Oreochromis niloticus: one gene and its partners. Each later gene encodes a partner of the first gene's protein in a complex. Links are inferred from orthologs where the notes say so. Each region holds a gene or a part of one and is shown in the gene's direction. Other genes may lie near its edges. The genes, in order: mios, castor1, wdr59 and seh1l.

Evidence for each region.
Region 2: the proteins of mios (region 1) and castor1 are in contact, whole or in part, in a cryo-EM structure (PDB 9LVK), measured with the Homo sapiens proteins. The link is inferred for Oreochromis niloticus from reciprocal best matches to the Homo sapiens genes MIOS and CASTOR1. Residues at the interface, in NP_001357005.1 of Homo sapiens: Ala83, Asn84, Val109, Pro110, Lys111, His112, Ala113, Arg114, Asp134, Lys135, His136, Arg137, Asn184; in NP_001032755.1 of Homo sapiens: Val94, Ser116, Thr117, Tyr118, Gln119, Thr120, Asp121, Thr188, Tyr236, Leu255, Thr256, Ser257, Ser258, Ala295, Tyr296.
Region 3: the proteins of mios (region 1) and wdr59 are in contact, whole or in part, in a cryo-EM structure (PDB 7UHY), measured with the Homo sapiens proteins. The link is inferred for Oreochromis niloticus from reciprocal best matches to the Homo sapiens genes MIOS and WDR59. Residues at the interface, in NP_001357005.1 of Homo sapiens: Asp705, Trp710, His711, Arg713, Ala714, Ile718, Ser721, Lys728, Pro729, Leu730, Ala731, Gln732, Val733, Phe734, Val735, Ser736, Cys737, Asn738, Phe739, Ile744, Lys780, Pro781, Leu782, Pro783, Leu787, Cys788, Leu789, Gly793, Pro795, Gln819; in NP_085058.3 of Homo sapiens: Tyr871, Arg876, Glu877, Arg879, Ala880, Glu881, Leu883, Lys884, Pro889, Pro890, His893, Lys894, Gly895, Ile896, Glu897, Phe898, Gly899, Val900, Tyr901, Arg906, Glu908, Val909, Arg910, Thr912, Phe922, Gln923, Ala925, Ile926, Cys927, His928.
Region 4: the proteins of mios (region 1) and seh1l are in contact, whole or in part, in a cryo-EM structure (PDB 7UHY), measured with the Homo sapiens proteins. The link is inferred for Oreochromis niloticus from reciprocal best matches to the Homo sapiens genes MIOS and SEH1L. Residues at the interface, in NP_001357005.1 of Homo sapiens: Arg279, Arg316, Ser317, Phe353, Glu354, Arg355, Ile356, Ser357, Leu358, Ala359, Trp360, Pro362, Leu366, Met367, Trp368, Ala369, Cys370, Gly371, Arg372, Leu374, Tyr375, Glu376, Cys377, Thr378, Glu379, Glu380, Glu387, Asp389, Ile390, Ala391; in NP_112493.2 of Homo sapiens: Met1, Phe2, Val3, Ala4, Arg5, Ser6, Ile7, Ala9, His11, Lys12, Asp13, Leu14, Ile15, His16, Asp17, Val18, Phe20, Phe22, His23, Gly24, Arg25, Met27, Trp47, Ser173, Ser174, Ser175, Asn230, Leu231, Gly232, Arg233.

Annotation. Positions count from the first base shown.
Region 1 is NC_031976.2:33,238,740-33,245,657, reverse strand, and holds the start of mios (GATOR2 complex protein MIOS), read left to right. Parts: upstream 1-3,918; 5' UTR 3,919-3,955; coding exon 3,956-4,774; intron 4,775-6,068; coding exon 6,069-6,558; intron 6,559-6,918. Other genes in the region: col28a1b (collagen, type XXVIII, alpha 1b), read right to left, coding at 544-1,103, 1,936-2,071. UniProt on the Homo sapiens protein: As a component of the GATOR2 complex, functions as an activator of the amino acid-sensing branch of the mTORC1 signaling pathway. The GATOR2 complex indirectly activates mTORC1 through the inhibition of the GATOR1 subcomplex.
Region 2 is NC_031977.2:29,895,401-29,902,916, reverse strand, and holds the start of castor1 (cytosolic arginine sensor for mTORC1 subunit 1), read left to right. Parts: upstream 1-4,514; 5' UTR 4,515-4,714; coding exon 4,715-4,872; intron 4,873-7,516. Other genes in the region: nipsnap1 (protein NipSnap homolog 1), read left to right, coding at 114-145, 266-360, 1,375-1,458, 2,007-2,071. UniProt on the Homo sapiens protein: Functions as an intracellular arginine sensor within the amino acid-sensing branch of the TORC1 signaling pathway. As a homodimer or a heterodimer with CASTOR2, binds and inhibits the GATOR subcomplex GATOR2 and thereby mTORC1.
Region 3 is NC_031965.2:37,920,082-37,927,496, reverse strand, and holds the start of wdr59 (GATOR complex protein WDR59), read left to right. Parts: upstream 1-4,397; 5' UTR 4,398-4,469; coding exon 4,470-4,523; intron 4,524-5,338; coding exon 5,339-5,388; intron 5,389-6,149; coding exon 6,150-6,285; intron 6,286-6,398; coding exon 6,399-6,484; intron 6,485-6,556; coding exon 6,557-6,637; intron 6,638-6,974; coding exon 6,975-7,012; intron 7,013-7,415. Other genes in the region: RNA-binding protein NOB1, read right to left, coding at 344-484, 2,395-2,535, 2,616-2,687, 3,027-3,160, 3,238-3,370, 3,908-3,976. UniProt on the Homo sapiens protein: As a component of the GATOR2 complex, functions as an activator of the amino acid-sensing branch of the mTORC1 signaling pathway. The GATOR2 complex indirectly activates mTORC1 through the inhibition of the GATOR1 subcomplex.
Region 4 is NC_031976.2:5,534,461-5,541,405, reverse strand, and holds the start of seh1l (nucleoporin SEH1), read left to right. Parts: upstream 1-3,933; 5' UTR 3,934-4,050; coding exon 4,051-4,161; intron 4,162-4,587; coding exon 4,588-4,638; intron 4,639-4,760; coding exon 4,761-4,907; intron 4,908-4,990; coding exon 4,991-5,202; intron 5,203-5,519; coding exon 5,520-5,618; intron 5,619-5,709; coding exon 5,710-5,850; intron 5,851-6,016; coding exon 6,017-6,171; intron 6,172-6,945. Other genes in the region: ptpn2a (tyrosine-protein phosphatase non-receptor type 2a), read right to left, coding at 953-1,051, 1,228-1,328, 1,423-1,513, 2,982-3,038. UniProt on the Homo sapiens protein: Component of the Nup107-160 subcomplex of the nuclear pore complex (NPC). The Nup107-160 subcomplex is required for the assembly of a functional NPC.

The DNA of each region.
Region 1 (6,918 bases):
CTTTGAGGTTTTACTATATCCTAATTTAGAAATGTTTAATGTGGAGAATTGATTTATTTAATATAAATTTATTTATTACATAATAATATTATAAAAACTTTCTCCTGTATTGTCTTGATGCATGCTCAATCACCCAGGCACCTTATCGCAAGACAGTTATGGATTCAAACTTTCCAGAGACATTTAAGTTAGCTGTATGAAGATGTGGCATAGATAAGCCTTTGAATAGTCGGTAGAACTCGATAGGTACTACACAGTCCCAGTCCTTTTCCAGAACTTTCAAACTAAAACAGGAAGTAACCAAGTAGCTGTGGTAGCACTCATATAGTATATTTTTTGTTTCTCTGGACTGAATCTATAGTCAGCATCTTTATAGTAAGCGTCTTTTTTGCCATTCAGTAAGCTTTGTCAGGCTCTTCAATAACTGAAGTTTATTTTCAAGCACGACGTTTTTCTAAAAAAGCATTTCACCACTCTGATGTTTCTCGACTCTGTACTTGCACCTCTGTGCCTGAGCTCATTTTACGTGAAGCCAACACTCACCATCTCTTTGAGCAGCTTCTCTTCCAGCTGAGAGTCGAGCATACTTTGGACAAACTGCTGAGCAGGTGTGCTGGCGATGGCCCGGAGCTTGGCAATATTCTGCTGGGCAATATCTGATAGCCCAACAGCAAAGAACTTTATGCCATGACCCTTGGCCTCCACAGCAGCTGCAATCACATCAGGGTTACGGGGATGATCGACTCCATCTGTCATTAGCACCGCCACCCTCACGCTGTCCTTTGAGGTCTCATGCACCAGCAGCTGTGAGGCGTTGGTGATGGCGTAGGTGGTATAGGTGCCGTGACCGATGTAGTTCATGGTGCTGACTTGACCGTGAAAATAGTCCAGGTCTTTCCAGGCTGAGAATCTGTGCTCTATGGACACAGTGCTGCTGTACTGCAGTGCAGCCATCCGCACCTTCATCGTCCAGCCGGGTACCTGGAGCATGGCGAGCCGGGTGCTGAAGCTCAACACGAAGGTCTTCTGTTTCTCAAACAGTGATATGGTTGCGCTCTCAGAGCTGTCCAGGATGAACGCCACTTCCAGTGAACATGTCAGACCTACTTGAGAAGGAGATCACAAAAACTCACATGAAGCTAGAAGTATTAGAAACAGGACTAATTTCAGGATTGGCACTCTGACTCCTTTCTAACTTCTTTCCACAAATTCAGTCCCTTCTGCCAGCAGTCGGTATGTATCCATGTACACTGTCAAAAGTGCTCTAATGTCTCGAGGAACACATCGAACAGCTGTGGGTTCAAGTGTGATCATTAATTCATGAAATATTCTGGAATAAACCTGATTCGGGGAAAAAACCCACTCCCAAATTCCTAATACCAGATGCCACAGGAGACCTATAAAGGTCTTGTGTCCTGAGCCGTTTTGGCAGCATGAAGGGAAGCTACACAAATAATAAATACAGAGACTTAATTTTGTGGCAAGTCAGTGTAAGTGCAGCTTGTGGAAAAGTAAAGCAACAGTTTTGAGTAGTTCTACATTACTAAAACTGTCAAGTAAAGGCTCAAGGACCAAGTGAAAGACCCCAAATTGTCAACTTCCAACCTTAGAACTTACAGTTACTTTAGTTAAAGTTCCTCACTTCAGTTGCAATGGGATCAGAGTTAATGGTGTTTGTTTTTGTACTAAATGAAATCAAATTGCCACATGTATAATCCATCCATTTTTTTTACATTTAAAAAAAAAGGCACTTAAAGGAAGGCATCGTGGGTGGATGACTTAAGAACTTCTCATGTAGTTTTATTTTAACTTAAAATTTGATGACTCAACCATTTCATTGGCCTGATTTCACCATCCCTCATTCAACAATTTGTTCTGTCAATGCAACATAGTGACTTTCACCACCAGCATGTGGAGACCTCATCTAAAAATTACCATTTCTTCCCTCATCTTGCAGCCTGTAGTTGTTCCTGCGCCCTGTCTTTCTCCTCTGGCCTGTGGCCTTGTGTAGGAGAGCCAGCAGCAGAAGGCAGACCCCGACTCCTCTGCTCAGGTTTCCCTTCAGCAACATCCTAACAGAGAAAAGAGGAGAATGTTAGGGGGGAAAGCAGTGTATGCAAAGCACAATGAGTTATTTCATCTTTAACAGGATTCCTTTTACTATCATGGACACTGCTAACCACACCCAGTTGCAGATCCCAAAAAAGGGAGCTGTGTTCTGCAACGGCAGCAATTCTAATGGTATTAATTTGCTTAGGTGACACCGTTCCTCCTACTGATAATGCACTTTCTCAAATACTTACTATATTACAGTGCCAACAATATGTAAATGTGTGTAAAACCAGAATAATCTGTGCAAATACTTTTCTGTTAACAGGTTACAAATGCTGCAGAATCTAAACAAATATAAAGTTAAAGCTGCCAGGTGATTGAGAAAAGGTCACAGCAAAGTACCTAGTTTGCAGTGCAAATACTGAAGTTGCCATTCAAACTGTGACACCACGAGTGTCACTACTTTGTAAAAAAAGTTTTAAAAACAAAGCAAAGATATCTTTTTTTTTATTACCTCGAATCTCATTTAGCTGCAGCCAGTGTTTGTAGTCCAGTCAGCTCTTTGAGAGGCATTTCTCCGCGGAACCCCGGGTCCCTATAAACCAGACTGAGATAAACTGAGGACCATCGCATGAGCTGATGTGCTGTGTGTGTCAGAGTGTTTGTAGCCGGGGGCCCTCCCTGGTGCCGCTCCAACATTTTAGTCCAGTGCAACGCTTCATGCCTGACAGAAGGGATCCCGTGAAACTCTTTTGTGCACATTGAGTCCATGCACTGGAATCATTTAGATTTTTGAGACGCCAGATAAATAGCATTTGCAATAGTCATCACTCCAAGTCATAAATAATGCATCTAAAAACCACTGCCAACATAAAATAAAGCAGACTACATTAGTTTGCAGGGATAAAATAATTTTAAAGTATTTTTTTTCTCGGCATCTTGTTTTCCTTAACAAACGTGTCAGTTTTCTGGCTATCATGGGTTGATTACTAAGGAAAATGGTTCTGCAAAAAATCCCAAATGAATTTCTTTCTCTTGCATTTTCCACTCTCCCCCACTAATGTGAAAAGCAGATGAATTGTGGTAGTATGATACTCTTGTACCGCGCAGAAATCGACCTCATTTCAATAACATTGTCAGTCCGACAACTCAACTCTTATTGCTTAAATACATTTAATAAATTAATTAACTTAAATAGTCATGATCTGAAATTGCCTAATTTCTTATATAAAACTGGCTGATTTCGTTGACTTCTTTTCTCTTTTTTATTCACTTAGCACCCTCTGCTGGTAAACCTCATCTTTAGCGGAACATGAAGTAGCTGACGTTGCTAATAACACGGACATGTTTTGGTGTAACACACAACATCCGCTTTGGCTCCAGGTTGCCCCTGGTCGACATGTGTATTTTAAGCTGTATCTCGTGCGTTCCTATAAGTCGTCTTTGTTGTGTTTATGTAAGTAAAACCTCTTCTCGAAATGCTCAAACGGATGTTTTCGACTGCTGGTTAAACTGGCGCGAGCGAAACGGTCACGCGCTTGCTCTCCCTTTACTTGTTAGCATTAGCTTAGTTTAGCTAGCATGTCAACAAACTTAAAAGTAATACTATAGCTGCCCACGGCAGCTTTTTAACATGCTGGGCGATGAATTCAAACCAACTGTGCTACACTTCCACACAGAATTTAGGTTATATTGACGGTTTGGTTCATTGTATCATTACTTTAACATGTTAAAAGACTTCTCAGAACTGTCTGTTGTCCACGTTGCGACCACTGCAGTCGGAGATGTGTAATATTTCTGCGCTGTCTCTGACCTTTGTTCATGTGCTCGTTTGTGTGATATTCTGCCGTATTTTCAGGCTGGAGAGGTTAAACTTCCCTGAAAACCTACTAGCTTCTGAATCATGAGCGGTTCCAAGCCCGACATCCTGTGGTCCCCCCACCACCCGGACCGCTACGTCATCTGTGACTCTGAACTGGGACTGTACCGGATCGGACCTGTGGGCAGCGCAGAAGCCAAGGCTGGCACCCTCCCACTCTCCGAGGAAACTGCTGCTACATTACTGGCCATCAATTCTGACACCCCTTATATGAAATGTGTGGCCTGGTACCCCAAGCACGAGCCGGAGTGTTTACTTGCCGTTGGCCAAGCCAACGGCAGGGTTGTGCTTACCAGCTTGGGCCAGAGCCACAACTCTGCATGCAAAGAGCTGGTGGGGAAAGAGTTTGTGCCCAAACATGCCCGTCAGTGCAACACTTTAGCTTGGAACCCTGTGGACAGCAACTTGTTGGCTGCTGGGTTAGACAAGCACAGGGCAGATTTCTCTGTCCTCATATGGGACATCAGCAGTAAATTGTCCCCAGAGACCAGTGTAGCAGCTGAGAAGATTCGCCTTTCATCTGTCGATTTGGACTCTAGCACAGTGGTGACCAAGCCGTTGTATGAGTTAGGCCAGAACGATGCTTGCCTCTCGCTTTGCTGGCTGCTCCGTGACCCAAAGCTGTTGCTGGCAGGCATGCACAGGAACCTTGCGATATTTGACCTGAGAAACACGAGTCAGAAAACATTTGTAAACACGAAAGCCATCCAAGGTGTGACAGTCGACCCGCACTTCCATGACCGCGTGGCCTCTTTCTTTGAGGGGCAGGTGGCCATTTGGGATCTGAGGAAATTTGAGAAGCCTGTGCTCACGCTGACTGAGCAGCCCAAGCCACTCACAAAGGTAGGATGGTGTTTGTTATAAAGAAAACTAACCAAAGGCCACAGTAATAAGGATGCACTAATATACTAGCTTTGTGTATTGGTCATGTTAACTTTCAGACTTCTGCATTCCTCATTTAAAATTTCTATCATTTATTAATATCTACAAAGTTTGTAAGTTCAATTTTAGTGAAATAAAGGTCAGCATGACAAGTGGCTCATTTAAAAATAAGTGATAACATATGACATATCTTATTTTCATACAAGGCTTCTCATCTGGCTGTGACTCCTTCTGTGTCAAAAAATGTTGTGACATAATTGTATTTTATAACCCAGAATTTGAAAATACTTACTCGAGGAACTACAACCATGATAATGAGTGGGTTTAAAGTTGATTCAATTGCAGTTTAAAAAACAACAAACAAACTGTGTTTGTGTTTTTTTTTTTTTTTTTTTTTTTATCTCTGAAATTTTCATGTGGTTATCTCCTTTTCTGGAAATGCTGGAATTTTTTTTTACCAAATTCAAAATTACAGTGTGTCTGTAACTTGACAAATATTTTCTTACTATTACGGTACAATTTGTTTTGGCTGCATTACATATACTAAAATTATTGTACCAAAAAAGAAGTCAGCTGATTCTGGCAGGGTCAGGTGGGAGGCACAGATTGATTTTTCAGGGAATAACCTCTGGTCATTCCACGCCTCTTCAGCAGTTGCTCAATGCCCCACATTCTGAGAACCACTGGTCTATTAGAAAATAAGATGTCAGCTTGTTTGCTTGTTTGTAACCCGTCAATTTTAGATTGCCTAAATCAGGGGTGTCCAACTCCAGGCCTCAAGGGCCGGGGTTCTGCAGGTTTTAGATATCACCATGGGTCAACACACCTGAATCAAATGATTAGTTCATTACCAGGCCTCTGGAGAACTACAAGACATGTTGAGGAGGTAATTTAGCCATTTGAATCAGCTGTGTTGGATCGAGAACACATCTAAAACCTGCAGGACACCGGCCCTCGAGGCCTGGATTGGACACCCCTGGCCTAAATGTTCAAAGACAGAGTAATGAAATGCTCAAATAATTTTAAACTCTTTACTTGGTCTTTGTCACAAAGACCTGTTTCATTTAAATGAAAAAAGAGGTAATAAATGATATCAAAAATAAGATTAAGATGCATTAAAAATGTCACATTGTTATTTTAAAGGTTTATATTAGCTCAGGGTTTCACAGTCAGGGCATGCTTATTCAGTAGAAGTCTTTTTTTTTTCCACTTTTTATTTTTTTATAGCTGATAAAATTCTGCTTTTTGTTCTCAGGTGGCATGGTGTCCAACCCGTACTGGCCTACTGGCCACGCTAACGCGTGACAGCAACATTATCCGCCTGTACGACATGCAGCACACTCCCACACCCATAGGTGATGAGACGGAGCCCACCATCATTGAGCGCAGTGTGCAGCCCTGTGAAAGTCAGATTGGCAGCTTTGCCTGGCACCCATCCTCTCAGAACCGCATGGTGGTGGTGTCAGCAACCAACCGTGTCATGACTGACTTCACGGTGTTTGAACGTATCTCACTGGCATGGAGCTCCACCACCTCTCTCATGTGGGCGTGTGGTAGACACTTGTACGAGTGTGTTGAGGATTCGGCGGAGGGAGTGGAGAGTATGATTGAGAAAGACATTGCCACTAAAATGAGGGAAAGGGCTCAGTCCAGGTACGGACATGATACCGTCCAGGTGTGGAGGAACCATTTGCTGGCGGGTGGGAAGGATGCCCAACTTAAGTCTTTATGGCATGATCTGTTCTATATCCTTTCAGGTGATGAAATGGTGGAAATATCTGCACGATGGCTTATTGATAATCTGTTTAATGGCAGAGAAAAACAGTCAGCCACCTGTTGAAACTGTATGCAGGTTATTTTTATTACTTTACAAAGCAGAAGTGAAGTGCTTCATTGCTCCGATGATGGTTCTCCTCATTTGAAGGTTTCTCCTCTAAAGACTTTATAGAGTAGATATTTATATCATTATTATTATTATTATTATTATTATTATTATTGTTATTATTACTTCAAAATGTAACCTTTCAAATTAGTTCAGTAAAGAATTCAACGTTTAAAAAGCTTATCATTAAGACTATGAAGCCTATAATGGGCATAATAACACC
Region 2 (7,516 bases), on another chromosome or scaffold:
CAGTTAAAAAAACACGTAGCTATGAATAATAGATAAATAGTGCTTTCAGTCTTTCAGTTCTATGGAAATATGATGGTGGTATGATTCTAATTAATATTTTACTTGTGCTTCAGCCAGGAACCATGATTGAATGGGGCAATCGCTGGTGAGACACGTTGAATTTATTTAAACATATGTCATTTGTCTGAATCTCTTCCAGTGGAAGTGAAAATATCAGAAGTGTTTCAGTGATCTTTATACTAAATAAGATAATGTTTTGTAACAGGGCGAGGGCAATCAAACATAGACAAGAAAACAATGAGGCAGTAGGCGGTTTCTTCACACAGATTGGCCAACTCTATGTTGTTCATCACTTGTGGGGTGAGTAATTAAGCACTCTACACTTAAAACATGCCTGTAAGATGAGGTGATTGACTGCTGTATGTTAAAATGTCTGACAAGTTTGGTCTGGCTGAATTTCAGATAGCTGAATGCTCCTGTATACATTCTGTATTCTAATGAATTACTAAAGCTCAGTGTTACGGTTCCAACATAAGCCAGGTGTGTCAAACATCAACAAAGGATGATTTTACACTCGACATAACATTTGGACTTTTGATTGCATCTTGGAACAGGAAGCATTATATTGCGAGTCAATCAAAGTATTAAAGGTGTTTTATGAGTGGTTGTCCATATTTTTGATATCATCTGAACTCTGGTTCAGATGATATTAAAAATATCAAGCCTCTGGGCTTGAATCATAAATTTCACACATTTTTGAAGCCTGTATTATCTCAATGAAGTAAGGGCATTCAGCCAAAGAGCTATGTCAGTGTGTTTCTTTGAAATGACAAGAGCATGAGGAAATACTGAGACATATTGTTGTAATTGCAAATATTTTCCATAAGACATGTTGGGCTGTTTTATTCACTGATAGACAGAATGTACTAATACTTGAAACTCAAAACATACGGGAAGAAATGTTTGGGTGGCTTTTTTACGTTATTATTTAATTGTGGTCTGACATTTATGATCAAATTGACCCATATGTGACCCACGAACTACATGTTCTTACCTGAAATGTGGTAGAACAGGAGATTCACATCATGTACCGCATGTGCAGCCAATGAATTTGCAGTAACAGTGCGATCCTATTATGTGAAAATGGATCAAAATCTCGAAGGAATGTTTCCAGCACCTGGTTGAATCTGTGTGGTTAAGAATTGAGTTCTGATGGCAAAAGAGATTTGGCCTGATGTTAGCAAGGTTTAACTAACGAAGGTGCCAGTGACTGTAAATTTTATCCACACATAATGCAATATAATATGTGTGGTGGAGTTTTTTGGCTTTGCTTTTTTCATTGGAATTTCTTTTTTCTTTGCCGTCTTTTCATAGCTTATGAGAGCCTCCAGTCCCGAGAGGAGACAAGAAACTCTGCCTGGCGGAAAGAAGGATGGGACGTAAACGTGTATTATACAGGTAAGAAAGAAATGCTTCGCCCAGATGCCTTAAAAAAGAAAAATGATTTTGTCAGGGCTACTTTATACCTCATTGATTATTTTTACCTGCAATTATATTGAGCAAAGTTGAGACTCGTAGATCACAAAACTCTTTTAATCATAGTTGCCTACCAACAATTTTCTGCTGAAACGTTTAATGTGGTCGGTGTACTGGATCTGAAATCTGTATTTCTTTGAAGTAGGGCTAAAGTAAACCTTCAGTGTTTTCTTTAAATGTTTGCCACAAAATCAGAAAATTATATAATGCTGCCTCCCCTCCCCCATTGTTGTTAGTGATGGAGATGAAAGGGTTGCGGTAATAATAATAATTTAAAAAAAATCTTAATTTATTGGCCATCCATGGTAATATGAGACTTAAGCAGTGTGAGCATCAAATTATAAAATGATACTGCCCAGCTTGAAGAATTTTAAGAGCTGTATGTTTGTTGTTTGCTTTCCTGTTTGTTTATTATTACAATTGTAATTTTCAGTACATCATTTTCTAACTGTCTTTCTGTCTGTCCTCAGTGCCTTTGTTGCGAAGTATGGAGTCAAGAATAATGATTCCAACTAAGAGTTCACCTTTACAATGAGAAAGCGACTGAGACTGCAAATAATTCAATGACCAAATTTTACTTAACTTTTTGGTCTTACGAATTGTAGTTTCCATTTCTTCTGTATGACCTGTGTTGTTACTAAAAGCATTGAAGTAAAACTTCTGATTCCATGTTTGTGATATTGCCAAAGTCAAAAGTAGTTGTACAATTTCCAAGCACATTCAGTATAAAGAACCTGAAAAACCAAGATTTACAAGGGTTTAGATAAAACACGTGAAGGGGGGGAAAACACAAGAGAAAAAGAGTTTGTGCGTTACGGTGTTATTGAGGAATTTTTACGTTCTGATTTAGTGGAGTGAAGTGAGGTGTGTTTGCTCTATTTTGATCATTAATTGATGTAACGGAACACATATTGGGGTTTTTGTTTGTTTGTTTTCTTTTCCACAATAAAGATTTTTATGATAGTACTATTAAATGTACATGGATGACTTAATGAATGAGATCATGCTGAATTTTGCAACGGTGAATGTAAAACAACTGTTTGATTAAAAAAAAATAAAAACAAAAGCCCACCTCACTGATTGTACTTAAAAAAATTAAGTACATTTCAATTTTGCAGATTCAATTATAATTTAAAGTCAATGTGTAAAGATGTTACATAAATTAATACATTAATCTGGGATATTTTTTTGGGAAATAATAGGTGACCTACACAAAATATGATTATTGTAATATTTAGAATCAACATTAGACTGATGGAAAACAAAAGTATGGAAAACCATACTGTAGTCTTTTTTTCATAGACTAGCTATGTAAGTGTCATAAAAACCATGTCACCCTGAGCAACATCATTAGAGTTGCATCTCTTTATCTTGAGTAATTCTTCTCTACTGGATTAATCCTGAAATGCGAGTTTATGACTGACACTTTTCTGTTTATGAAAGTAACACCTGCGATCATCTGATAAATGAAAACATTATCATATAAGATCAGATCAATAAAATATGAAGTAACTATCAAGCAACTAGTCAGTGAGTTCACCTGTAGTCTATGGCCATTAAGGTCGCAAGAATTTTACTCAGAGGTCAAGTTCAACAAGCATTTCTTTATTGACCTTTGGGCAACGTTACTGAAATAGAAATATCCTTTATTGTCCCTAATTGGGGAATTCACATGTTCCAGCACCAAAGTGACAGGCAGATACAGATTCTCACAAAAGTAAAGAATATAAAATAAAACAAATGGACAGCACATGGCAAATTTACAACGTAACAAAAACAATACTGTATAGTTATTAAAAATATACTCAGACTCAAAGAAATGTGCAGCTGAGTAGGATGTTTTTGGGGTTTTGGTTGTTTTTTTTTACAGAATCAGTGATAGTGCTGTGAAAAGTGCTTAAAAACAACAACGAGAAAGTATTTACAGAACACTGAAAAACTGTACAAATAACAGCAGTGACGCAAACAACTTATTGTGTTCATTGGGATCAGTGATAGATACAAAGTCTAACAGCTGCTGGGAGGAAGGATCTGTGATAGCGCTCCTTTGTGCAGCTAGGATGCAGCAGTCTGTCACTGAAGGAGCTCTCCAGGTCTGCAACAGATTCATACATGGGGTGGGAGACGTTGTCCAAGATTGATTTATTTTGGCCAGAGTTCTTCTGCCTCCTACCACCTGCAGTGGGTCGAGGGGGCATCCTAGAACAGAGCTGGCCTTCCTGATGAGCTTATCCAACCACTTCCTCTCAGCTGTAGATAAGCTGCTGTTCCAGCAGACAACACCACAGAAGATGGCTGACGCCACCATAGAGTCGAAAAAGCTCTTCAGGAGCACACCCTGCACTCCAAAAGATCTGTTTTCTCAGCAAGTAGTCTGCTCTGATTTTTCTAGTAAAGAGTATCAGCGTTGTGACGCCAGTCCAGATTATTGTTCAGGTAGGGGTACACCCAGGTACTTATAAGAGTCCATTATCTCAATGCTAGTTCCCTGGATGTTCACTAGTGTTGGTGTGGTGGATCTGAAATCCATCACCAGCTCCTTGGTTTTCCCTGCATTGATCAGGAGATGATTCTGCTGGCACCAGGCCACTATCTGTACTCTGGGTCATCCTCAACTTTGATGAGGCCTGCTATGGCAGAGTCATTAGACAACTTTGGTAGATTTCAGCATGGGTAGTTGATGGAGGGGGAAAGCAGCAAGTAATCATATTTAAAATGATACTGATATTGTTTTGTTTACACTCTCTTATGAAAAAAAATGTAAATAATTGTAATAATAGTAATAGTTATAATTATTGTAATCTTTTGTTTTAGTTGTGCAGTCAAATCCGCTAAATGAACAGAAACTGTTATGAGGATATTTGATGGCTTTTAATTTTTTTAAACAAAACCGGAAGTTGTCACAGCTCGTTTCACACCCCCCCTGCGTGCATGTGCCAAACAGCGGCATAAACCTGTAGCTTTAAGAGGAGGGGGCGTGTCTTTTCTAGGGCTGTCCCTTTATTTGAATATACAGTAGTTAAGCGGGGCTGGCGTCTGGTTGCGTCGCATGTTTTTCTCTATTCTGAGAGAAGCACCAGCGTGACGTGGGGTTTTTAGTCGGCGGAAATACTCATGACTTATGTCTCTTTAACATTTGAATGATATCATCCAGCTAGGAAGGCGTTTTCTCCGCCGCATGCAGGAACAGAGCAGTGGAGAGGAACTGTTCGCAACCAGGAATATGGACTTGCACATATTGGACCACAGGCTGAGGGTCACCAGTATATCCAAGAATGGCCTGGTGAATTTCACGCACCCACTGATAAAGCTGATATTTCTCCGGAACAGGACACGGTAAGGAGATTCATTGATCGGGCCAGATGGTCATGTCGCTTCGCTTTACGAATCAGCTTTGGTAATCCAGTACGGATATATGAGATAACCTACAGCGCCTCTTCATTCACTGGGTGGCCGAGCTACTGGGCGATTTGTCTGCACATGCTTTGCCTCCATGAATGATTCACAACAGTGCATGTAGATGTAAAGAATTGCAATAGCTTTTGTTTTTAGACATTCTGTTTTATTGTTGCATTTGCACAAAATCTGCAGCATTTAAACAAACAAACTGAATTTTTGTGCCCTGCATACCTTTAATACGCGATTCTTCCAGTGGGCACAAAATCAACTTTAATCAAACTACTTCAGAAGCGTGCAGTACCGTTGTGTATTTCGGTTGGACCCCGTCTCTCCGAAACAAACTTAATACATGACATCCTGCGCTCGAAACCAACATTCAGTCTGCAAATTTTTCTGATCTCACCCGGGCATTAGTACCAGTTTTCAGCTAATCCCTGGATATCCCTCCATTGTTATGCAATTGTTTATTCTTGCGGCTGGCCCACATATACATGGCCAAAAGAAGAGCTCGACATCTGTCTTCAGACCACCATGATATAGGCCGTGCGGGGTTCAGCTGCAGCTCTCGTTTGAGTAACAAAGAACCTGTAAACAACTGTCTAGAAAGCGCTTCCTTATGTCATCGCCTTTCTGGATTCTGAAGTCTGTATATCACACCATACTCTGAAAGTTTCTTATGATGTACCTTATTTTGGCTTCCTCTTAAAAAGAGAGCAACTTTTTCATTATTCGGGGCTGATGGGCAGTAAAAGTGCATTCTTACAAGACCATGAATCCCGTTGTGTCTATGTTTCCTTTTCAAATGCATCCCTGTACGTGCTCGATTGTTTTCATCAGTACTCTGTTGTGTATTGGATAATGGAATAAGTTTTGACATGTTCACACTAGACACACTGTGTCATGATGACTTACACTACAGTACTGTAGAAAGTAAATAACATGTCTCTGTGAATAATCATAGATGTGTGGGATTTGTGTGAGGAAGGCATTGGGCAACCGGTTAACAAGAAAACCCATATAAGTATATAGTTATTTTTAAAAACTCACTTGAAAGGCATAAGCATTTTTTGAACCGGTTTAGTGAAGCATTCAGTATATGGATAAAAAGTAGGCGAAGCACTGAATAAACCAGAAAAGGGCATTTTGTTCATGCTTTGGAGTTATGTCACCATTGTTTTTCCTGTTTCTTTTTCCTTAAGCAAGAGGGATATTTTTTTTTTTTTTCCACCTTTTGATCAAATGCTAGGTGATGCGGAATGGGGAGTGGTGGAGACATTTGTTTTTAGTTGCTTGATTTCAGTCAGGGAGCAAAAACAAGCCTGATTGCTCCGGGACACTTTTTAGCCATCTCCCTTTTTCAGGCCTCTGCTATTCATTTGTGAACAACTCCCTGTGCAAAGTGATTTGAACGCAGCTCTGAGCAGAATTTTAAGGAGATATTCACATGTGACATAGTGGATTTTTCTTCAGCGTCCTTTAGCACTGGCGCTTACTACGTCTATAGTGCAGAGGCTAAAAGTAGTGAAAGGAACACTTTTGACTTGTCTACAAAGAAATATTCATATGATGGAATAAAGTGTGCACTATTAGCTACAATATTGCTCTGTAAATGTCAGTGTCATTACCAACTTAAACATAAATGTCAAATACCCTGTTTTGCAGAATATAAAATATCTAAGGATGTCAGTGAATCCTCCCAGAATGGCTGAAAAAATGTGCACCTTGGGCTTCCAAGCCATTCTAGTCTTACTAGTATTCTGGCTTTGTCTTTAGTAGTTGTTTACACTTTGTAGGTAGAGTAATAAACGAAGCTCAGCATCAGCTCAATATATTGTTCTTCCTGAATTGTGGATGTAGCCCCGCAGGCTCCACACAGTCCTCCTTTCTTCTCTTTGGCGGCTAGCTAACAAGAGCATGGGTTGGAACAATGCTTCAGCCGAGCCAGAAACCCGGTTGGGAGTTTTCCACTTGTCTGCTTCAGTGATCCGTCAAGGTTGGGGCTCCCACTCCTCCTGTTTACAGAGGACTTCCCACACCCCGTACCCACCCGCCTTTTTGGAAAAGGGGGGCGAAAAGGAAGCCTGATAGAAAACTAAGAGTGTTGTTTTCATAAGTTGCTAACGTAGCAGACAACTTGCCGTGCTCTGATCATAGGACTTGAGTCGCTTGAGGCTCATTCCTCGCCCTTCAGCGTCAGTTTTCTGTGTGCTTATCATGTTTTCTCAGCTGGAGCATCAGTTGCAGGCCCAGTGCCGTCACCAGCCCTCACTCCCTAGGTGCTGCTACCCCCCGTTGTTTTGTGCAGCTGGATCAAAGTCCAACCTCTTGTGTGCTTGGTTTTCATCTTCCCCACTTGGCCGCTCCCTCGCTACCCGTTGCTTCCTCATCACTTGTAGTTATTTTCATCTCCTTCTCTCAGTGTTCCTTCTACTTCAACAGAAGCTTATTTTTCCGACCCATGTTACTGGATGCTGGTCAAAACATGTTTGGGGCACTGACTTTGCTAATTATTTTTTAAAAATATGTCCAGCTATTATAATATTTTAATCTTATTCAGTGTTCTCACACCAGAACTGAGTAT
Region 3 (7,415 bases), on another chromosome or scaffold:
GTGGGCATGCACATGATGTTCAGAGGCTGCAACACAAAACAACAGAAATAAAAGGGTAATGCACTGATGCACTGGAGTCTGACCGGTGTGTGAAACCATGCAAACACAAAGACACCTGCAGCCCTCACAAAGCCTCATGGAGGCTCCTTCAAATATTTAAATATGAATGAGGTCTCCTGCAAACTGCAGCCGGTGACACGAGCCTGTCACAGTCTGCTACGAGCGCTCACTGAGGGGCTGAACCGAGGCTCAGAGTAACACAAAGGATTATTTTGAACTGTGAATCATGCAAAGCTGCTCTACGAGACTCCCAGCATGAAAACATTCTTCCCTTTAAACTCACCAGTAAACCCAGCAGCTCATCGTTGAAGGTCAGAAGCGGATCCCTCCAGAACAGGAAGCTGCTGAACTGGTTGCCGTCCGAAGTCGTCCGTGTGTCCGTTTGTTTTTGTCCATCGCTTGATTTTAAACCCTCCGTTGGACCCTGACAGAGCAGCAGCGATAGCAGACATGCTGTGTTTACGTGCACAACCTGGAGATACAAGCTCTTTTCTAACAGCACGGCACCCAACTCCATCCATCCGTCCAGGCCTCCAATCATCCGTCCATCCATCCATCCATCCGTCCAGGCCTCCAATCATCCGTCCATCCAATCATCCGTCCATCCATCCATCCATCCGTCCAGGCCTCCAATCATCCGTCCATCCATCCATCCATCCGTCCAGGCCTCCAATCATCCGTCCATCCATCCATCCATCCGTCCATCCATCCATCCGTCCAGGCCTCCAATCATCCGTCCATCCATCCATCCGTCCATCCATCCGTCCAGGCCTCCAATCATCCGTCCATCCATCCATCCATCCGTCCAGGCCTCCAATCATCCGTCCATCCATCCGTCCGTCCGTCCGTCCGTCCGTCCATCCATCCGTCCAGGCCTCCAATCATCCGTCCATCCATCCATCCGTCCAGGCCTCCAATCATCCGTCCATCCATCCATCCGTCCAGGCCTCCAATCATCCGTCCATCCATCCATCCATCCGTCCAGGCCTCCAATCATCCGTCCATCCATCCATCCATCCGTCCAGGCCTCCAATCATCCATCCATCCGTCCGTCCGTCCGTCCATCCATCCGTCCAGGCCTCCAATCATCCGTCCATCCATCCGTCCGTCCGTCCATCCATCCATCCATCCGTCCGTCCATCTCGCCATCCGTCCATCCATCCATCTGTCCATCCATCCTTAATGGCCGGGGAAAAACAGATGTTCTTCTCTCCAGACATTTTCTCGGGCATTTCCAACCCAGCTGCGAGCTACAACCTCTCCAGTCTGTCCTGGTTCTGTCCTGGGTTTCCTGTGAAACAGTTAACCTGCAGCGGTGCAGGAGGTATTCTGGTCGGATCCCCAAAGCACCTTAGCTGGCTCCCTTCAGTGTGGAGGACTAACAACCACTGCACGGATGTTCCAAACCAGTTCCACATCTTTTCATAGGAAAAAAAAAGCCAGTAAAGACACAAAACTTCTGTGCTCGGAGGTGGAACCACGCCACTGGCTGTGGGAGGGGACAGACATTCGCACAGCTCACAGAGTCCATCCTCCATGATTTTATTCTGTGGATGTTACTTTAAACTCTGCTTTGCAATCTTTGGTCTTACAACAGTCAGAATAATAGAGCTGGTTTCATCGGTGGCAGAGAAAATGTGTATGTGTTTGTAACAAAGGCAGCTCAGCTCATCTCGGTTTCTAAAGATTATTGACTTCAAGAATCAAGAAGCCTGTTTTCTACGATCGCTTTAACACATATTCACAGAGGAAAGGTTCTGAGCATTGAAACTATCTGTGCAAACAGACGTCTGTGTGAGAGTCAGCAGAGGGATTTAAAACCCTCTGAGGAAGTCGTTACAGCGAGAGACTGTGAGGTCCAGGTGCTCCTCGTCCTCTCACCACAGCATGAAATCTCAGCTAATCGCGCTTTTAACGTTTGTCACATCAAAAATACAAAAGAATAGAAAAAGTCTGAGGAAATGAACACGAGCTCCGAAACAACATCAGAACAAAGCTAAAAATTCTGTATTTTAAAAAATAAGCACAGACGAATGTCAGCAGAAGGTAAATCGTCCGATTTTCCCACATTTTAACTGGCAGCATAAAGAAATTCGAGATTTACAAGAAAGGAAACACCATTTTTAAACACTTTGAATGGAGTCTGGTATTTCTGGTCACACTGTCTGTGACATTCAGATTCTCTTAAATCTTGCAAATTCGGTTTCCTGATTCAAATAATTTCACATTATGAGCAAAAGATGCAAAAATTAAATGACAGAAACTTCTTATTTTAAAGCTACTGTCTCAAAACAATCTACGATCGAACCGAAGAGAGCTCTGTTTTTTCCTCACCAGTAAACCCAGCAGCTCGTCGTCGATGGCCGGCAGCGGCTCCCTCCAGAACTGGAAGCTGTTGAACTCATCGCTGTCAGTCTCGTTCGACGTCTTCTTTTCCGTCTCCGTCTGTTGGACATTCGGACTGTCTGCAGGTTTCTGAAGACACAAACACAAAGTGAGAAAATGTTCCTGACTGCACGCCGGCCTGACGGCTGACACGAGTGTCCGACTCTCACCTTGGAAGGAAAGTGGAACCCGGCGACGTTCATCGGAGTCTCGGGGTGGCGCTGTGTGTTCTGAATGTTCACCTGGATCAGAAAATAACCAGAGGAGTCTGCGTTTATCACAGTGTGGAGTTAAACTTCTACATGTCTGCAGTACAGAGTCAAGAATAGAATAGAACAACGCTTTATTGGCATTGTACAACAAAGGTATGGGTGCAATGAATATGCGACGCTAACTGCACAGGAGTAAAAACATACATAAATATTAAGCACATTAGGAATAAACAGCAAACAGAAGAGACGTACAGTCCAGAGAGAGTTCACACAAAAATCACACATAAACTTTGTTGGTCTCAGCCTTTCACAATAAGAGCGCTCTCTTATTCAGAGAGCCAGGAGAGCAAGTCTGTGTGCTGCAGGTACCTTAACCTCCGGCTCCTTCCTCAGGTGCTGCGAGCCAACGTTCTCCAGCTCCAGCTGGTAGGTCAGAGCCAGGACTTTGATGTCAGTGGCTGAGAGACTCGGATAGTCCCCGGTCTTCTTGGAGAACTCTGTCACTGAAAACAGACACCAGGACGTTAAATCACACCTTTACAGAGGTTTGGAAAGGGATGGGATTCAGATGCCCGCTCACCGTGTCTGATGTGCTCTGGATGTGGTTCCTTAAAGTGGAGCTGGTACGGCAGGAAGGCCAGGCTCCTCCTGGTGGGTTTGTCTCGGATCTCCTCCACCACATCTTTCAGGGTGTAGATGTTCCTGCCGATTTCCTGCCAAATAAAACAGAGTGAGAGAACATCAGGAAGCTTCAGCCTGATCTTTATCGTGGCAGCAGCCAGAATTCAGTTTTTTAATCCGCTTGAGGCTAAAATCTTTATTAAAGCTCCAGTGAATATTTATTTTACTAAACAAGGTTTTTTTTTCCTTTAATGATCTGAAAACAGAGACCAGATCCGGACCAAAAACCCGTCCACGTTCCGTCTACGTTTACACCTGAACTACAGCATCAGGTGATGCTTTGAACACCGTTGATCCAGTTCTCCTTTCTCTGGACTACATTACAGACCCGGGACCAGATTAGCACATTAAACTCAGTTTTATGGCCCTGGATCATTTATTGTCCCTATGAAAGCAGAAGAAGATCCTGTTTCTCGGTTTGTTGTCGGGGACCTGTTGGCCTCCAGCTCCACGCTGAGTCCTCTCCCCCCGGCTCGCCTCGCTGACACCTCCCGGTCTCTGAAGCCCCTCTCCCGGGTCACCCACACCCTCACAACCCCGTCCACTTGGATCAGGAGGGACAGACTCACCTGGAGAGGAGCTTTCTTTAAAAACGCTCCAGCATCTGCGACAACATGCTCTACCAGGGTGGTCGCCATCTTGGTTTGATGACCAGCAGCGGGAGCGACCAATCAGAAGAGAGGGGAAACACTCGTGACACGTAAAGCCGAAAACACGTCACTCATGTGGGAAAGTTGAACTTAACCATTAAAGTTGTTTTTTAAAAAGTGAAATAAAGTTTGTTTTCTTATTTAATTGATGTATTATTTTTAATCGATATATTTATCTAACTCATATTTGATATACAGTAAATATATATTTTATGTCCTTTAACAGTCCAATCAGACTTCAAGATATTTAAAAAACAATAGTACATGTTTATTAAGAGACAAAAATGTCAAAAGTATAAAATAAAAGGCAAATAAAGGAAAAAATCGTAATAAAACTTTACTTTTTATAATTAACAGAACAGTCTGAAGAACAGTCTTTTATTACTTATTCAACGGCGTTTGTTGTTCCCACTGTCCTGAACGCAGCGTTAAGTCACTTTAGCGTCACGTGGTGTTTGTTGACGGTAGGAGACGGAGAAAGATGGCGGCCCGCTGGAGCAGTGAGAATGTTGTGGTGGAGTTTCGGGACGCCCAGGTAAGTTTTTCTTTTTTAAAGTTGTATTTATTTTTATGTTTTTAATTTCATGCTTGTACGAAGCGCCTGCGCGCGCAGGTCAAGGAGCGTTTAAAGTCTCGTAAAAGAGAAAACTGCAGCTCAGTCCAGGTTTAATCACCCGGACTTCTTCTTAGTGTTTGTTTGTAGCTCAATCCAGTTCAATGTTGTTAATCGATTAATCGTTGGAGTTGTGTATGTGGCACCGAATGTGTGGAGGATTTTAAATTTAATAATGAATTACTCGCCAAAAAATATATACAATCCAACAAACAAACAGTAACTCCACATTAATGAATGTGGATCAGTTAGAATGAAAATTAAGTTAATCACAGCCTGAGTGATTAATCAGCCAATCAGGAAGTTAATCAGTAACAATTCGGGTGATTGAATAGTTGTTCTGGTCACTTTTAAAGCGCAGACTCCTCATAGTTTTGATGATTTTTGAGTATCTGTATATGTAAAAGTAAAATAAACAGAAACGATACATTTTTTGTGAATCGGCGGAACCTGATACGAAGTTGATAATAAATGATCACATCGGGTAATTTAAAATCACCTGAAAGCTTCAAAGCTTCGTTGTGTCAGCAGCAAAGGTTACTGACTTCTCTTTAATCTCACATTTAACACAGGAAACAGCACATCTGCTCTGCCTGAGAGGAAATCTCTCTGAACTGAAGTTCGATGATTTTAATTGTGTTTGAATTTTGATTGTCAGTAAAATAGACACAGTGAAAATTACATGACGTTAGCTACACTAAAAAACTGTCACTGCTGCTTTTGTCTCGTGTTTTCAGGCCACCGCCATGTCCGTGGACTGCCTGGGCTCCCACGCAGTGCTGTCCGGGTAAGTTTGGGTCACCCGAAGGCGCCACAGTCCTTTTCCTCAAACAGCAAATGATGAAATGTGTTTAATGTCACATCAGAAGCTCGTAATTATTCATTATTCAGTTGATTATTCAGTTTCAGAGCAGCTCTGTCCGCTGAGCTAGAATAAATGTTTGAGGGAAGGAACATAAGTGTAGTATTAATATATTAATAATATGTAAGTATCAGAATGACGGGATACTTATATTATTGACAAGTTAATAAAGATAAAAAGTGAAAATGGCCTATATTTATATAAAAAAACTACTTTATTATGATTTATGACCTGAAAAAATTGAAATTTGCAGCTGTGAATTTTTTTTTATGTCATTATTTAGAATTTCAAGAAAGTCAAACTTTGGTTAAAGCGTCAGAAATGTGGAAAACCTGTGTTAGAATTACAAAAATCAAATATTAATTATAATGAAAAATTATTATTAATAAGAAGTTAATGCTGAGACAAAGTCAGCTGTTATAAAAGATTTAATTTTAAATGATCTAAGATTACGAGATACAAGATAATAATAAATAATATTTTTCTGTTGTTCCTGTTTCTTTCATTTAAAAAACTTTAAAGCAAAGTAAAGATATCGTCCAATGTTACCCCGCCAGTGACAAATGCTTCATTTCTCCTGCAGCATATTTTTGTAATTTTTAAAAAACAAACAAAAAAATCTTTATTGTGATTGAAGATTTTAAATTCACATGATTTTACCTTCTGTCGTCGTAATCGTGCCGCAGGCGTCGCTTCCTGTACCTGGTGAACCTGGAGTCGCCGTCTGAACCGTCGCGGAAAATTGGGCGACAGAGTAAGTGGGACGTGGGGACGGTCCAGTGGAACCCGCACAGATCAGAGGCCCACGTCTTCGCCGCCTCTGTGAGTGAAACCTCCAGAATAATTCATCATAAAATCATCGCAACAGAAATAATGTCGTGTAGGTAAAGAAAGTGGAGGGTTTGTGTATTTCTGTGTGTGCGTGTTGTCCTCAGAGTAACCAGCGGGTGGATCTGTACTCGTGGAGGGACGGCTGCGGGGAAGCTCACACCTCCCTGCAGGGGCACACCCGGGTCATCAGGTAACAGCAGATCAAATCAAACGCACCCATCAGTGGGTAAACGCAGCCTCACTGATGTGTTCGTGTCCGCAGCGATCTGGACTGGTCCTGGTTTGAACCCGAGTTCCTGGTCACCAGCTCCGTGGACACCTACATCTACATCTGGGACACCAGGTCAGAGCAAAGGAAGACCTTCCAGTATCATGTTTATTATTTATTATTATCTGTCTAAGACAAAATATTCACACGTTCCCACTTTAACATCATGTAACCTGATATAACAGGTGTGATTACGACGACGTTCGCTGGTAAAATTATATCCTTATTATCTTTATCCTGATTCGTCACCTGGACTACGAAGCTGGTTTAACAAACCCAGGATATCTCGCTGTTATCTGGCTTCTCTTAGCCTGACATCATCAGTTAGACTAAGAGCTCACAGGAAGGTGGTGATCGTCTGAAAAATCCCGACAGTGTTTCTGAGTGATTTTTGGATTCTTTGTCTCTACAGAGACACTCGGAAACCCACGCTGGCGCTGTCCGCGGTCGGTGAGTATTTAAAGGGCCGGACTGTTTCCAAAGTCCTCCATCAGTGTCCACATGAACCTCACACAGCTGTCACATTCAGTTTGAGTTTAACTGACCTCCTCACAGTCAGTCAGAGTTAGGCTGGTTTATGTGCTATAAGGGGACACGTCCACAAAAGCCTGATCTCCTGATGGAGTCGGGCTTTTTAAGCTGTTTACGGTGTATTCAGCCTGTTTACACGGTGCTTGAAATGGGAGGGCTGAAAAATGTTTGTCTTCTGGTTAAAGGCTGTTCTCGTCACTGTCAGCTTGGTGAAGCGTGGGACAAATACTGATATGACCTCTGGTAAATAATTAGGATCAAGCTAGAGGGCACAGCAGAGAGCGCAGGCTTTACCGATGTAAACACCAAACAAGGTTTTTGT
Region 4 (6,945 bases), about 28 Mb from region 1:
TGTGGAGAGAGAGAGAGAAAAAAAAAAAACTTAACCCCCCCCCAAAAAAACAATGAAATACACAACAATGAAACCTCACTGAAAATGAAACCTTTTCAGAGTAAAACCTAAACTGAAACATGAAAACCAAATACAAGTGAAACTAAAAATAAAAAAAAAACACATTCAAAACTAAATGCAAAAACAAACTAAGTAATCATTAACTTTCCTGGAACTGTGGTTAAAATTTCAAATAAATGGAAACAACAGAACTGAAACTTTACATACAGTACAGCTTAAAACATGACCACAGAGCTTAAGACAATCTTGTGAAACACAGAGTTCTGATGAAGTACAACACCACAGAGCAAGAAAAAGACATTTTAAACTGGATTTTTTTTTTTTTTTTTTTTTTTAAATGTAAGGAAATAAATTTTTTCCATTGTCAAGTAAAGGAATTTGAGTCATGATTCCTGCCCAAAATATCTCAATTAGGCTTTGATCCATAACGAATTTAAACATGTGCAGCTCTTCAGTATTTCAATTCACTTTTTCAAAATTGTGGCATTCTTCTCAGTCTGTCTGTCAGCATGATTACACCTACCAGGGTGAAATTCATGAAACGTGGTGAAGAGATGGTACATGCACGAAAAACAAGCCAATTAAATTTTATAGTAAATCTGGTCATCTTTTTGAAAACTCCAAGACAGGGCTGAAAGCCTTTCTAGTCTACCAGATAAAAGTGGATAGACTAGAAAGAAAACACAATAAAACGTATCTTGGATTCTATTTCATCTTGTAAATGCACAGAATTTTAGCATCAGTGGAAACAGGCATTGGATCTCAAACCTTTTGGGATGAGCAAATGTATCTACATCTATTAATAAAGATTTGTCTCCTCAAACTTTCAAACAACCTAGCCAGCAGGGGGACTTCAGAACGTAATGATTAGCAGGTGCTGTAGTGTACTCACAGATCCTTTTTCAATCACTCTGTTGAGCATTATAACAGCTTTGCAACTCTGTTCCCAAATCATCAGCCAGAAATGGCCGCATGTATTCCTCAAGGGGCCCTGTCAAAGCAAAAGTAGAAAATCCACATAAATGAATAACATCCAGAGATCATCAACAACTCCCAAAATGTCAAACTCAAATCCTGTGTATTTTCCTTTGAGTGGCACGCAGATGTGTTCAACAGATATCCGTGCAGACAGTTCAGTGTACACTGCTTGTCCTACAATCTACATACCTGAGAAAGAATGTAAGCTCTTTGGGCTTCTTCCACATCGACTAAACTTGCATTGATGTAGTCATTTTCAGAGTTTTCAAGTTTTACCCGACTGTGATCGTCTGAAACCAAGCAAGAGATCACAGAGCAATTATGATGACGTCATTCTCGGCAGCACATATCATCAATGAGAGCCTTAACCATCGTAACACTCACATGGGCTGACATCTCTGTAGCGGTTCAGATTCCGGTTCACTGGAAGCTTTGCCACTTTGTAGGAATATTCACTGGCTTGGTTACGGATCTCCTGTTGCAGATGAGAAACCAAACAGGAACTCAGAAGCATCACTTTGAGTTGATTCAGTAGACAACAGCGACAGGAAACAGTGACACAACCTGTTCAATTCATGTACCTCCAGTTTTACTGGAGTGGTGACCAGTAATGACATTAAAAGAAAAACCATACGCAGAGATCAAAGGTCCTCAATCCTTTGTACTCAATTCATTACAACTGGTCTGCTTTGTTTTCATTGTCATTTGTCAAACTTAATGTACTGCAATGCCTCAGGCTGTTGTTTTCCTTTTACAACACAGTCTGCATGGGCAAGGCCAAAGGGCGAACTCAGTTCTATTATTATTATTTCATTCTAGAGAAACAGAAGCAGTTTTACTGGACACAAGAAAAGAATAAAGGAGAACAAAAATTATTTTTGACACTCCCAAGAATACTGTCGTGAGCAGGGGCGTGTCCCCTCACTGCCACTGAGCTACAGCACCATGGATAAGACTAGTGGCAAAAGTAATTTTTAGTAGTACACAAAGTACAGTTTCAGTGCATAGATGTACTAAGACATGATGCTGTATTCTTGGTCTGCATATTTGACTTCCTGATTTAAACCTCCCCATTTATTCAAGCTTGGGACTCATATTAGAAGTAAACTGACAGAGATAATCCCATAACATATGGAACTGAAAAGCATCATTATGTACAATGAGCACTATTGGTTTAAATAGATTATCATGCTAACGACATTATCCTTAAAATAGGTAAGAAATTAAATTAAGTGTTAGTATTCTCATGTCTGTTCAGTCCCATTTAAATTCTCAGTAGGACTGGACTGCATGAAAGAAATTTGATCTTTTATGAAATTACTTATCCATGCACTTTTTATAAATACCCCCCGCTCCCTGTCAAAAAAAGGTTTTGAAAGGTTTTTTTTAAAAACATTTTTTAAAAATGTATAAAGTGTGCACGTTCATTTCTTCTTAATTTATTAACACTCATGTGTGAAAAAACAGCTCTAGTTACATGGCATCTTTGTAGTTCGCAGCTGCACATTGCAGGGTCATAGCCAAAGTTTAACCGGAACAGACATATTATAAACGAAATGCTGTGCTGCGTGGTAAAACACAACACGCTTTTCTGTGGAAGTCCTGATGAGTTCTCAGAAACTGCGGCTGACGTCTGCTAGCGTCAGCCAGCATTAGCTAACCGAAGTGAAGATCGTGCCGATGCACGTTTTCCAGCTACGGAAGTCAGCTAGCGCGAAATGCTAGTTACTCATTCGTCTTTACCAAGTGCACTCCAATATGTATAAAGAACTTGGAAGTCATGTCACGAAGTGTAGAAATTTACACAATTAAAAGCGTGGACGGGAAAGTGACCAAAAACTCGAAGTGGTGTCTAACTTGATAGCTATCAAATTAGCTAGCTAAGTTAGTTAGCAACCGATCGTCATAGAAACAAGAGAGGCCCGGTCAGTGTCCCGACTTACATTGTAAAGGTTTTGCCATCTCCCCGACGAATCAATGTCTTGAAATTCTTCCTCCATTGTGTTGTAGTTAGTGAACCCAGACACTTGCCGGAATAATCTCAGAGTGTTTTCAGCACCGTTCACCAACTTACTCCTTTCTGTCAGCCATCTAAACAGCAGTGTGTGTAACCCTAGGAATCCCTGCGGGGAGTCTGCTGCTCCGGCACAATACTGCTTGCTTGCTTGCTGCCTGCACGCTGACTGACCCGGGTTGCCAGATATGCGTTCATCACAGCCTTCCGCAAACACACACACACACACACACACACACAAAAATACAAAAAACAAAACTAAACTACACTAAACTACAAAAATCTGATATTAACATTAATATTTAAAAAAAACATACGCAAGGATATTGACACTTAGCTCAGTGTTTTATTCAGTTGTTTCTAACTGGCAGATTCTTCTGGCCTTACTTAAAACACGAAAAACAAAAAAACAAGATATGTTGCAGTATTTCAATGAATGCATTAATTTAATTAATTAATGCAATACTCTTATTGAACGCATTAAAGTTCTTTCACAATCTCTTTACTGAATGTTTTTAAGTACTATTATTTTATGCCTTTACAAAATTCCTTTGCACAAATCTGTTTAAATATTGTTACTTGAAATTAACTTTTATTAATAAAGTTAGCGAAGAAAAAAACTGTCAGTTGGATCAAACCTGGCAACCGCGCAAGAGGCGGCAATAAATTTTGACAATATATTACTTACTATATTTACTTTGGCAGTTATGTATTAATAAACCTATTAATCTGTCTGTTTATCTGACTACGTATCTTCAAAGTAACTCTAGCTGTAGCAGTTTTTCACGGAATAGCTTTCGATATATTTTATCTTCTTATAAAGAATCCCAAAGTCGCTTTGAGCTGCTTAAAATTTGTGTGCATGCGCCGCCGTGTGGTCAATAACTTGTACTACACACAATCACATTACCGCCAAATAAACACACAGCATAAGTAGACACATGACAGGCCTGCCAGTTAATCGTCCCAGCTAGAGTTGCCGGTACATAGTTGTTATCATGTTTGTTGCGCGTAGTATCGCAGCAGATCATAAAGATCTAATTCATGACGTATCGTATGATTTTCACGGCCGGAGGATGGCGACTTGCTCCAGTGACCAAAGTGTCAAGGTAAGCTTTACATCATAGTTTGCTAATGTTAGCATTAGCCGTTACAGCTAGCAGGATAGCCTTGCCCACATTACCGACACTCTCACCTTTCATACTGAAATTACTGACTCGTTTTCCTGACAGACATGGCATGAGGTTGTTTGAAAAATCTTCCTCTGGTTATTACACTCGAGGGAAGTTATCTCAGTTTAAAATGCTAGTCTGTTAGCTCTGGTGCTTGTAGCACACGAGCTAGGCTGGCTACAGATAAGCTCTATACCACAGTAGTGTAGTTAAGCACTGCCGAGTTTTCCGACAGAGCTATCGGTGTATTTTTTATTATGTGACGACATAATAAAGGACGTACATACAAAAGTCAGTGCAAAATCGGTGATAATTGTGCACAGACACATGAGCAGTATTCAAGACTGATTTTATTCCACTCAGGTCTGGGACAAAAGTGAGAACGGAGAGTGGCACTGCACAGCCAGCTGGAAGGTAAACCACCATCATTTCCTTTTCTTTTTTATTTATTACTTTATGTTTGTCTTTTTGAGTATGGACACAGCATTACATTCAAAGTATCGATGGAGTTAATAGATGAATGTTGTTATGTCCAGACACACAGTGGATCAGTGTGGCGAGTGACCTGGGCGCATCCAGAATTTGGACAGGTTCTAGCTTCTTGCTCCTTTGACAGAACAGCTGCTGTTTGGGAGGAGATTGTAGGAGAGTCCAATGACAAGCAGAGGGGACTTAGCCACTGGGTTAGTACGCTTGCATTGCATTTCCCATTTAATATAACTGTTTGTTAGATTTCACCTGAGTGTTTCATGTTGGGCTTTTCTAGATTAAGAGAACCACGCTAGTGGACAGTAGAACTTCAGTGACCGATGTGAAGTTTGCTCCTAAACACATGGGTCTGATGCTGACCACCTGCTCTGCGGATGGGGTGGTGAGGATCTACGAGGCTCCTGATGTGATGAACCTGAGTCAGTGGTCCCTGCAGCATGAGATCTCCTGCAAGCTCAGCTGCAGCTGCATCTCTTGGAACCCCTCCAGGTTAGACTGCTGGTTTACTTTGTGTAGGAAACCAAGATGAGATTCAAATGTAGAGAGCAGGTGTAGTGCTTTTATATTATTTGCTTGCATATGTTAGACCATGTTTTCAGTTAATGTGCTTATGAAATAACACAATTACTACCACTAATTCTTTCAATAAAACAGCTTACAGCTAGACTTAATGTGACTTATAGACATGCAGGTATAACAACATAATGAATAATGCTGTGCAAGTATCACTTGACCTTTTCATGTGTATGTAACACCATGCTGTTAACAGTCTGCTGGTGTAACCATGCGTTGTCTCCTACCAACAGCTCACGTGCCCATCCTCCCATGTTTGCTGTGGGGAGTGACGACAGCAATGTAACATACGGTGGGAAGGTTCAGATCTACGAGTACAACGAAAACACACGGTGGGTATTCATTATCAGTGATGCACTAACCATCGCATTATGAAGATATACCAAAATAAATGATAGATTTTAATATTTATCTGTTTAAAAGGAAATATGGCAAAGCAGAGACACTTATGACGGTCACTGATGCGGTTCATGACATCGCGTTTGCTCCAAACCTGGGAAGATCTTTCCATGTGCTCGCCATTGCAACAAAAGATGTTCGAATATTTAAGCTAGTTCCGATGAGGTGAGTGTTTGCACTCTGTCTTATGGAAGGTCACAACGCACAGAAACTGGTGGAGTCACACAAATACTGCACTGAAGCCCTGCATGCAGTTCCTGAGCAGATGTTCTCTTTTTAAGATAATGAAAAATAAAAATTCAATTTCCTGTTTCCTGTGTCCTCCTGACAGGAAGGAGAGCACGTCCACAGGACCCACCAAATTTGAGGTGCAGATTGTGGCTCAGTTTGACAACCATAACTCTCAGGTGTGGCGTGTGAGCTGGAATATCACCAGCACCCTGCTGGCCTCCTCTGGGGATGATGGCTGTGTGCGCCTCTGGAAAGGTGAGGGGGCTCTTAACAACTGCTTGTTTGTCTTCCTTTTACTTCAGTGACAGCTTTAGTAAAAGCTATTTAATGTGGATATTCAGTGAATAGTACTTTTCACTAGGCATTGAATGACTTTTGTTCACTCATAGTTGCCATTGGTCATTTCCAAAATAAAGGATTTGTTGGTTCAGCTGTGTAAAGAAAGCTGACATTTTTGCACAGGTTCTCATCAAACCACAACAGCTTTTTTTTTTTTCTCTACTGACTGAGGTGCAAATACCTACTTGTGAATATGTTGTAATCAGGTTAACCAGCGTGTTTGTTTTCAGAGTATTGATCCCAGTAATCAAGCAGACTGATATTGGCAACCATTATGTCCTCCAGTTAGGAAACCTTTGCCCTCCTACCAAGCTTCAGGCTTTGTAGCTGTGTAGCAGCAGTTGCTGCTGTTAATACTAGGAATAATGATTTAGTCATAGGTTAAATTGTCCAGTTATTCAAGTCATTCCACACCAGATCATTTGGAATTGGTCCATAAGTTTATATGAAGTTTCTTCTTGTTTGAAAAATATTGGATAGATGGGATGCTATAGTGTCTGTAACTTTGGGCGTTACCTGGATGGGTCTGTTTGATCTACCTTGATCCATAGTTTGGTCTTATTCAGGCGGTGTCTATATACTGGTAAGTGGACTGCTACTTGTATAGTATCTTTCTACTTGGTTTATAACTCAAAGTGCTTCACCAAAACACACATTCATACAGTGCTTCTATCCTTTTTTTTCTAACAT